3 linked regions of the Cricetulus griseus genome follow. The protein of the gene in region 1 interacts with the protein of each later gene in a pairwise test. Links are inferred from orthologs where the notes say so. Each region holds a gene or a part of one and is shown on either strand. Other genes may lie near its edges.

Region 1 (3,754 bases):
TATATCTGCACACCAGAAGAGGGCACCAGATCTCATAAGGGATGGTGAGCCACCATGTGGTTGCTGGGAATTGAACTCAGGACTTCTGGAAGAGCAGTCAGTGCTCTTAACCTCTGAGCCATCTCTCCAGTCCGAAAAGATTCTTTTACTAACGTCTTATACTGTGAAAGGTTATTGATTTATTTAGAATTTTCATTTTTGCCGGGGGTTGGGGGGCGTGGTGGCACATGCCTCTAACGCAGCAGAGTCTAGAATAGTCTACAGAGTTCCAGGACAGGCTCCAAAGCTACACAGAGAAACTCTGTATCGGAAAAACACACACAACAATTATTTTTTCAATTTTACTCTTTTTACTTATATATCCGTAATCCACACTTAATGCCTGTGCAAGAAGGTCGTGGTAGTCAAAGAATTTTAGGTCTTTCTGTGACGAAAGGCAAATAGTTAATAGGTTGGAGGTAGCTCCTTCTGCCTATAACTTCAAACTTAAAAACTTTCAACATTTTAGTCATCTACAGCTCTTAAAACTGTCCTAGAGCTGGGGGCAGAGGTAGGAGACTCTATGTGAGTTCGAGGCCAGGCTGATCTACATAGTTCTAGAGCGGCCAGGGTTGCTCAAAAAACAAAAATAAAAACAAAAAATATGTGTTCTAAGGGGTCGTCTTTTCGTTGTGGTCCTAAATCAAGGTCATGAGTGTGCTGGCAGCAAACAAGAGAAGGTAATAAAAATATTATACCGGCGATTCCCTATATTTAGGGACGGTTAGTAAGGTTGGGAGCAGACAAAAGAACTTGGTTTAGCTCGGAGAAGCGCGCAAGGTGTCCGAGAGGGAGGAGTCTAGGATGTCGGTTTGACCCCAAACATTCAGCCTGGTGGCGATGCCCTGGTCTCCCTAGGGGGCTGAGGCAGCCGGCCGGGTCTCCCAGCGGCAGAACACACAGTCGTTCTCTTGCTCCGGGCAAGCAATTTTACAGGTCAGACGCCCCAAGGCCTTTCCCCAAGGCGTTTTCCCGCCTCCTTTTCCCGTCTTCCCAAAGTCTCCTTTGCGCGCAGCGGAAGTGACGCAATACGTAGCGGAAGTCCCTGCAGCCGCGGTGTTGTGCTGTGGGGAAGAGACAGATTTGTAAACCTCAGAGTGAGGTTCTGCCTGCCGGAGGCCGCTGTGGTGCGGAGACCCCCGGGCGAAGCCACCATCACCATGTCTGACCAGGTACTGGGCCAGGGCATCGGGGCTCAGAGCTGTCGGCCGCTGGCTGGGCCCGGGGACCGCGGCGCGGGGGAGGGGACGCAGCTGGGGGAGGGGGCTGCTGCTGGGGAGGGGGCCGCGAGGGACGCGGAGCGCCCGGCCGAGTCGGGCCCAGCCGCCCGGGACCGCGGGGCTCCGGGGAACACCCGCCCTCCGCCGCCTTCCCCGCGCCCCCCTCCCGCTGCCCCGCGCCGCGGCTCTCTCGACGGCTCCCAGGTTTCTCGCGGGTCCGCCGGGGGCCCAGGCCCGCTCCTCTGTCCCCGAGAGCAACCTAAGAGAAATCGACCGTTTCCCTTCAGAGGACCGATGGCAGAAACAGGGCCCCAGGCCTAGTTATGTAACGGGAGGGAATCCCTGACTGGGAGGGTAGGTAGCCCCGAAAAGCTGCTCCACTCCACTTTGGGTTCTTGGTCTCGGAGTGGGGGGCGGAGAGGAAGCCTGGCCTGAGGTTCCTGGGACCCAGAAGACGCTGCTTTCCGTTGTGTTTGCCGGGAGGGCCTGTCCGCCTCTGCTCCCTTCTGCGTCTTTTTTTTTTTTTTTTTTTTCCATCTGGGGGGTGCGGATCGGTCGGCTCTTTTTCTGTACTTTCCATTTCTTACTCGGGATTGGTCCATCAACTCTCTAGTTGTAGGAGAGTTCAGAATAACCGAGAAACAAACGAAACTAGGTTAGAGTACCACCACCAACAAGCCATTTATTTCATCTGGGCATTAGCCTGCTTATGATTGTTACATTTTCAAAAATGGCACTTTTTTTTAACATAGTCAATTTTATACACGTAAACGACGTATCTTGGTTATATGCACCTCCATATCACCCTCTTCCAGGTGATATTTTTGAGGAAAATAGAAAAACTGAATATTTACAGCTGCAGAATGTTTACAGAAAGCTGCCAATTAATAGTAAAATGCTGTGTCTCCGTATTAATGTTAAGAATTTGCATGGTATTGGCATTCAAATTAGGAATACTGCCACCTTAATTTCCTTCATCCCATTTTTGTTTACCACGTTTGTGGCTAGTTTTAATACATAGGATTTTTATCTGTTTTTCCTTTTGTTTGCTTAGAGGACTGAATTTTCAAATTTTTTTTGACGTTTGTCTATAATGATAATTATTCAGTAAACTTTTCATTCAGCACCACAGTGTAGTTGAACTGTTTTCTTTTAATTTAATCTTATTTATTTATTTATTTATTTATTTAATTGTTTTTCGATACAGGATTCTCTGTGTAGCCTTGGCTAACCTGGAACTGCTCTGTAGACCAGGCTGGCCTCAAACTCAGAGATTCCCAGCCTTTGCTTCCTGAGTGCTGGGATCAAAGGCATGCTTCCCCACCACCTGGATAATATGGTTCTATTTTTGTAGCCTATCCATAATGTAGATTAATTGTGGGGTAGATTTGTTTATAAATAATCTGGATTAATTCTGTTTAATCTGGATAGAAATTCGTTTATGAATATCTCTCCAGATAGTTCCGAGTAAGGGAGGAAAGATGAGCTGTAAATGCTTAGTTTCATCAGTCTTTTATTTTAGAAGGAACTAGAAGGCATGTCAGCCTGATGAAGGGCAACATACAGTTAGAAATTTTAAAATTATTTTTGCTCTAGTTTGAACTCACATCATTTAAGAATATGGAGAAAGGCTCTAAAGCTACACAGAGAAACCCTGTCTTGAAAAACTATTAAAAAAAAAAAAAGATTATGGAGAAAGGAAAAGAGAACCTAGGACACAGGCTGTTTTCAGGGGATCTGTGAAGCCACACTAGGGTGTAGTACTTGTTACTGGGCACTGAACTTAGGGCTCACATGTGTACATGCCAGACAAGCACTATACCACTGAGCTAGATCCGAATCTCTTATACTTAGTCTCACTATGTTGCCTAGGTTGTTCTTGAACTTCATTCTGTAGCACAAGGTGTCTTTGAACTCGGAATAAATACTCCTCCCTCACTTATCGTTGCAGAGTAGGGAGGATTAGAGTTATGCCATACCTGGCTAGTCCATGTGTGATTTGTTTATTTTTTTTTTTGTCCCGTGTTGTTCCCCCCCCCCCCCCCCAGGGTTTCTCTGTATTGCTTTGGAGGTTGTTCTGGAACTCTGCTCTGTAGACCAGGCTGGCCTCTGCCTCCCAAGTGCTGGGATTTTCTTTTGTTTTTGAGATAGGGTCTTACTATGTAACCTTGGCTGCCCTGGAACTCATTCTGTAGTTCAGGCTGGCCTGGAACTCACAGAGGTCTGCTTGCTTCTGTCCTCTGAGTGCTGGAGTGAAAGATGTGCATCACAATACCTGACAAACTTTTGTTTTGTTTTGTTTTGTTTTCAAGACAAGATTTCTTTGTAGCTTTGGAGCCTGTCCTGGAATTCACTTTGCCTGCTTCTGCCTCCCAAGTGCCACCACCACCTGGCCCAAAACAAGTCTTTTTAATTGAGCTACACAGTAAAGCAATATGCAAGAGTGTGAAATAGTGCTACTTTTAGAAATTTTGACTTGAAGAAAAAGTATGCTA
Region 2 (3,409 bases), on another chromosome or scaffold:
GTCCCTAATGTTGGATAGTCCTATGTAGTACACAGTGTGATTAGTGGCTGAAGATTTATGTCCTGGGGTGATAACCAAGATAACCAGGCTGACCAATAATGAAGATCAAAGCCCTATGGACTTCTCCTTACCTGTAAAATAAGTATTATTATTAAAATAACTATTTATTTTAGTACAACTGGCATATTTAATAAATTTTATTTTAAAATAGAGTTGAAAAATGTTTGTAAACTTATAGTGAGTAGTTTTCAAAGGGTTTAATGGATATAAAATCAGTTTAAAAGTTTATCAGTGCATTTTTTCTTTATTGAAAATAGATTTTTTATATATCTAATATATTGATTATGTTTTCCCCTCCACCTATTACTCCTCCCAATTCCTCACTACCTCCTCTTACATTTGTATGCATACCCTTTCTTTCACTAGAAAACAAACACAGTTTTGAGTCCAGCCTGGTCTACAGACCAAGTTCCAGGACTACACAGAGAAACCCTGTCTTAAGAAAAACAACCAAAAAAAAAAAGGAAGAAAGATAGAAGAAAAAAATGGAAGGAAGAAAACAGGCATCTAAGGAATAATAATAAGATAAATCAAAAACCAACAAATCAGAGTAGGACCGAGAAACACGTGTAGACACAGATACACATTCACATACGCAGGAATCCCATAAAATCCCAAAGCTAGAAGCCATAATATACACAAAGGACTATAATGTAAAAATAAAATGGGATTCCCTGACTTGACATTTGAGACAAAGATCCTCCAAAGATGCCATTGAGTTTGTTTTGTGTTGGCCATCTACTCTGGGCATGCAGTGTACCCCTGGGAGTACTTTGTTTCTCCAGTGAGACTCCATTGAAGAAAACTAATTTTTCATTTGCAAGTGGCTAGCAATTAAGGATAGCTTCTGGGTTAGGGATAGGGGTGTATGTCTACTTCTCTCATCTCTAAGACTCCATCTGGTGCAGACCTGGCAAACCTTGTGCATGCCTGTTGTCTGGCTGTGGGTCTCTATATTTGTGCCCATCTGCTGCAGGAGGAAGCATCTCTGATGATGGCTGAACAAGGCATGGATCTATGAGTATAACAGAATGTTGTCAGTCATTTTTATTGCTATATCCCTTTAGCAAGACAGTAAAAAATACACATACTTTAAGACATTCAGTGTATATTGCATTGAACATTTTGCTATCACATAGTTTAATTATTTAAAAGGAATTCATCCACCGGATGATTTCCATGTTGTTCCAGAGTACTGATGTCATCAAGTCTTACAACATGAAGTTAGCAGCACTCTCCCTTTTATACTGTGTCTTGCCTGTGTTAATTTACTCACTACACAATAATGTCACAAGCTTCTCTTCATGTTTTACAGGCTTCTCCGGCTCATACAACTCCACAGACCCAAAATACAAGTGGCCGTCGAAGGAGAGCAGCTAATGAAGATCCTGATGAGAAAAGGAGAAAGTTTCTAGAACGAAACAGAGCAGCAGCTTCAAGATGCCGACAAAAAAGGAAAGTCTGGGTTCAGTCGTTAGAGAAGAAAGCAGAAGACTTGAGTTCACTAAATGGCCAGCTCCAGGTATGACGCATAAATGCACACTTAATTTGTGCTTATTAGTTAGGAGCATAGTTTCCATCCTTCAGACATTTTAGAACATGATGTATACTGCATGTATGTGGACTCTGTAGTAAACCATGGTCTCCTAAACCTTTGTGAATGATGACATGAAGAAATACCACGCTTTCAGTGCTGGCACAGTGAAGAAATTTTATGTCTGTTTATTTGTATGGTACACAAATACCCTATTTACCTTGCTTGAAGTTTAGTTCTCAAAAACTTCAAAAATATCACTGGTTTTTTTGTTGTTGATGTTGTTTTATTTTGGTTTTTGTTTGTTTTGTTTTTGGTTTGTTAACCATAAGTTGTTTCAGTGGCAGTTTTTACATTCTTTCTTTGAATTACAATTTTATTTTGTTTCTTCTTCTTCTTCTTCTTCTTCTTCTTCTTCTTCTTCTTCTTCTTCTTCTTCTTCTTCTTCTTTGTTTTTTTTTTTTTTTTTTTTTTTTTTTTTTTTTTTTTTTTAAGTGAATATAGTGATCATGAAAGGTGCCAGATTGACAGCTTTGGAAACTGAAGGATTCTAATTATCCACAGAACAGGTACAATTTGGCCAGTGGCAGAACATATGATTTCATACTGCACTGCCGATGTGCCTCAGATACATTTCTTAGGACCTCATGTGGTATAAAGATTTTAAGGCTTCTTCCCCATTCAAGTCTTTGGTAAGATTTCCAATAAAAGTATCAGGTAGCACCAAATGTGATTATTTCCATCATTTCTCCTTCCTTTCTTTCCTGTTTTTATTATTTTGCTTTTGATGTTGTGAATATTCTCCAGTAGTCTCTTTTGAACTACCAATTAACTGGAAATTAATGTTAATAAATTTGTAGTTTATTAATACTGGTCAACAGTACTAGAAATTGAAGTCAGGGCCTCAGCACTCTGCCACTAGTTGGTTCCTTCTTTATTATTTAGAAATTTTAGCTTAAGAGAGCTAAATTGCCCAAGCTTGCTTCAAATTGAAGACCTTCCTGCCTCAGCTTTCCAAGTAGCTAGTGTTGTGAGCATGTGATTTAGATCAATCATTTGAATTATCCATTCCCAGTTTTAAGTGAATCTTCCTATATAAACACAACTAATAGTAAGAGAGACGCTTGCTTGTTTCTTAAACCTATCTGCAAAGTGCCACAAATGTAATTATTTAAGTGTTTAGGAAACTGTTTTTACTATCCTGTACAGCATTTACCCAAACTAAGTTTTCTAACAAATTTTCTTATGTGAGACAGACATCCTTAAAAGCCTTCACTGCATTTTGCATATTGATATGGTTATTTTAGAACAAATAGATTGTTATTTACAAAACTTATTTTTAACCATCTAATTTTAATAACTTGAAAAACAGATTAATAGTGACTTACTAAACAACATAAACTCCAAATATATACTAGGATTTAGTATATATTATTGTCATCATGGCAAATGAATTTTACTCAAAAACTTCCACACTTTTTTAGAATAAAATTAATTTTGTTTTAAATAGTATGAAACAGGTTATACATACTTATTTATACATAGATCAAACTTGTTAGAATATTAATTACTGTTATATTTTTAGATACTCATGTTAACTAAGTGATTTAAATTATCTTTTTGTTCCTAATAAAAACATTTTTTTTTTACTTTTCTCTCTCCCCTTTCCTCCCTCTAAAGCCATAATATACCCCTCACTTTCATTCAAATTCATGGCCTCTTTTTTTTCAACTAATTGTTATTGCATATATGTATGTTTCTAAATATAACCTGTTGAGTCTATGTAATGCTACCTATATGTATGTTTTTAAGGGT
Region 3 (3,654 bases), on another chromosome or scaffold:
TGGATGTGGAATGGGGGGATTCGATGCGAGGATGGGAGGGAGAGGGAACTGGGATTGATATGTAAAATAAAATTGTTTCTAATTTAAATAAAAATTTATATATAAAAGAAAACCCTCATTATCTCAAAAGTGAATAGAAAACATCAGAAACTGTCAAAAAAAAGTTACAGCATACTCACAAATGTTCCACTGCAAACATTTGCTTTCAGACACTTCAGAGACAGAGCTAATTTAAAGACAGAAGAACCCCCTCCCCCCACACACACAGGATTTCTGTGTGTAGCCCTAGCTTTGTAGACCTGGAACTTGCTTTGTAGACCAGGCTGTCCTCAAACAGAGATCTGCCTGCCTCTGCCTCCTAAGTGCAGGAATTAGAGGTGTGTGCTACTACATGTGGCCAAGACAGAAGACCTTAAAAGCCATTGATGGCATTTCAAACAAGGGAAAAAAGATATTTGTAAATGAATGAAGAGTTAGGTGAATCTCTGTGAGTTTAAAACCAACTTAGTCTATATAATTAGTCCCAGGCCAGCCAGGGCTTACATGGGAAGACCAAGTTTCAACACACACACACACACATACATACATACATACATACATACATACATACATACACACACACACACACACACACACAAAACACTGAAATATTTGGGGTTGTGAAAACTATCATGAACCAGAAATTTCTTCAAATACATGTCAGAAGTATAGCTTAGTGGTAGAAAGCAAAGGCCCTGGGTTCTAATCCCAGAACCACAAAACAAACAAACAAACAAACAAAAAATCAGGGAAGAAAGAGTCACTAGCCAGATTGTGGATTAGTGGAAAACAGTGACTTCACAGGAGATATCAATCAACCAAGGGATCAGAATCAATGATCAACAAAAAAAGCCATCCTTCTGCTCTATTTTTACTAAAAGCACAAAACCTCAAGTCTAAGGTAACATCTGAGAAAAACAAAGAAGGTGTTCTACAAACTAATAGGGCAATATTCTTTAGGCATCAAAGACACACAGTGAAGACAGGCTAAGGAACTAACTATTCTAGAATACTGGAGGCTCAGAAAATAGCGTTAACTACTGCTGTTTGGACTCTGGATCCCAGAACAGAAAACAGACATTAGTGGGACAACCACTTTGATATAACTGAGTCTCATACTCAGTATTATAGCAATACTAATCCCTGGTTTCATCACTTACCATGTATGCAAGATGTTATCATGTAAGGTTTCTGAAAATTGTATGTGGACACTACTCTAAGTTTTATATCCCTCCCTTTAAATTCTATAGTTATATGAAAATAAGTTAGTTCTTCCAACTCAAATATCACCTTATGACACTCTATTAACCCTCCTCCCATGAGAGCCATTTTCTAACAATATCAATAGACTCCTATGTTTGCTCTACTCACAATACACAAGAGTTCAAGAACTACTAAGTCAGTTCTACCATAAATGTACTAGGATCTCAGTGAATTATATTCTATATTTGGTGCAAAAGAAGGCCACTTATTTCTACTATATTTTACTTTATTATTTTACTTTTATTGTTCCTCTTTGCTGACTTAATGGTACAAAAGTCAAGTGTGCTGCATGCAGTAGCACGTACCTTAAATCTCAGCACTCAGGAGGCAGAGGCAAGCAGATCTTTGTGAATCTCAGGCCAGCCTGGTTGACTACCGAGTTCCAGGCTAGTCAGGGTGATATAGCAAGACCTTGTTCTCAAGAAACAAAAACAAAAGTCATGTGTATATGCAATGTTCACTTTTTTTCTCTGTATCATGTTCCTATTTCTCTGTATCATGTATATATGCACTAAAATTATAGAGCTTGTTAAACTGAACTTCTGAGCATTTTTTATCTAAAATGATGTTTTCTGTCTTAATGTCTCATCATAACAAAGCTAAATGAGATGAATTTGCGTGGCTATCTTCATCTGACCAATAGCTGCTGCTAACCTGTCTGTAGTACTGCTGGGGGCCATTAAGTGCTTGTCCACTTGGTTACCTTACCAGTCCCTGGCATCTACCTCTTCATAAGTAGAAATTTCCAATGATCATATCATATATTCCAAGTTGCATATGAACTTACTCATAAACTCCCAGTATTTTTTGTAGTCCGCTGGAAATTTTCGTAAATGCAAATGATAGAAATTCTCTTTATTTGGAGAGTTGAACCATTCCTGTGCCACCTACACAAAGCAAAAAAAAAAAAAAACAAAAAACAAAAAAAACAAACAAAAAAAAAACACCTAAGAAATAAAGAACATGTTGAAAGCTACTACACACAGCAAACTGAGCTACAGGGGAAGTAGAACAGAATCCCAAATGAAAGACTAAAAATCAGTTTGTGTGGTTTAATTAAATTGTTTAAAACTGACCTGTTCAATTCAGTCATTAGCCACATTTGGTTGTACTTGTTAACTGAACTTCTAAAGACTAAAAATACTATTCCTTGGGTGAAATAGCTTTTCATGTTCAGCAGTCACCTGCAGCCCTGATAATTTTCACTGTACAAGTATCAGCTGCTGCTAGATCTTGCTGGTAGCACCTACTCCACAATGAGACTATTTGTCCTACATTTTTCTCAATCTCTGGGAATTTGCACAAGCATTCTTCCTGTCAGTATCTATATGCCACACATACCTGTCTGCCAAAGCCTCAAGTCAAACTCAGAAGTGTATGAGATCTTTGGCAATCCTAAGCCCAAATTTACGAAAGAAACTGCTAGTATAAAAGGCTATTTTACACTTAAAAAAAAAAAAAAAAAAAACAGAATCACCTTCGGGACCTAACAGTCTTATTTTATAGTAAAATTTTTATTCAAGTAGCTAAATTTGCAACTGGTCTTCAATTCCTCAAATATAATTATTCATCAATGACTCCTGGTGCCAAACTGCTTCTGCACAAGGTTAGTGTGACAGCCCCACCCTCACACTATCTATCACTTTTGGCTAGAAACATGTAGCAGGGCCTTTCCTGCCATGTGCTGCTCCAGCCCAGAAATGAGGAAAGAGGCAAACTCAAGAGGCTCTTCCCCACTCCTGGAGAGTAAACATTACAACCTAACCAGGTTAAGGCTCAAATCAGTCATCCTTTCAATTTCCACTAGTAAGTCATATATTCTAAAATTTATCTATAGTCTTTCCATCTCCATAACTACTATCCAAACAAAGCCAACATCATTCTCTCCCCAAGTTGCTGGAACCAACCTGTAACTGGTCTACTGGATCTGTAAGCCTTCCTACCATTTGTTCTCTACTCAACAACCAAGGATGCTGTGTAAGGAATAAACTAGTGCGTATCCTTACTCCCTGGTCTAAATACTGACCAACACAAAGCCCTCCAATACCTTCTCACAGAAATAAGTACAAATTCAAACAGAAGTTTACGGGACTATGTGCTCATGAGCATTTCTCTAATCTTTATCTACAAAAGAGGCAAAGAAATAAAGCATACTTACTGTTTCAAAAGCATTCAATATAATCAAAGGGAGAAAAACATTAAAATACTCTGCACAATCTTGAAATCTGACGGGCACGGGTCTTGAGATAGATTGAGAGAGACTTGGTGGGGCGCCACATTTATCAAAGTTCAAAAACATTTGGTATTTCCATTTTAAGACCTCTTTAATGAAGGTGTCAAAGATAGACTGTG

The links. The genes of interacting proteins can lie anywhere in the genome.
Region 2: the proteins of Sumo1 (region 1) and Atf2 interact in binary tests that used the Homo sapiens proteins (3 or more experiments, as listed by UniProt). The two-hybrid records come from large-scale screens. The link is inferred for Cricetulus griseus from reciprocal best matches to the Homo sapiens genes SUMO1 and ATF2.
Region 3: the proteins of Sumo1 (region 1) and Setx interact in a two-hybrid assay, tested with the Homo sapiens proteins (2 studies listed by BioGRID and IntAct). The link is inferred for Cricetulus griseus from reciprocal best matches to the Homo sapiens genes SUMO1 and SETX.

Annotation. Positions count from the first base shown.
Region 1 is NC_048595.1:413,930,995-413,934,748, reverse strand, and holds the start of Sumo1 (small ubiquitin-related modifier 1), read left to right. Parts: upstream 1-1,054; 5' UTR 1,055-1,199; coding exon 1,200-1,211; intron 1,212-3,754. UniProt on the Homo sapiens protein: Ubiquitin-like protein that can be covalently attached to proteins as a monomer or a lysine-linked polymer.
Region 2 is NC_048599.1:101,315,297-101,318,705, forward strand, and holds part of Atf2 (cyclic AMP-dependent transcription factor ATF-2), read left to right. Parts: intron 1-1,375; coding exon 1,376-1,582; intron 1,583-3,409. UniProt on the Homo sapiens protein: Transcriptional activator which regulates the transcription of various genes, including those involved in anti-apoptosis, cell growth, and DNA damage response.
Region 3 is NC_048599.1:140,816,392-140,820,045, reverse strand, and holds part of Setx (probable helicase senataxin), read right to left. Parts: coding exon 3,461-3,654; intron 2,190-3,460; coding exon 2,090-2,189; intron 1-2,089. UniProt on the Homo sapiens protein: Probable RNA/DNA helicase involved in diverse aspects of RNA metabolism and genomic integrity.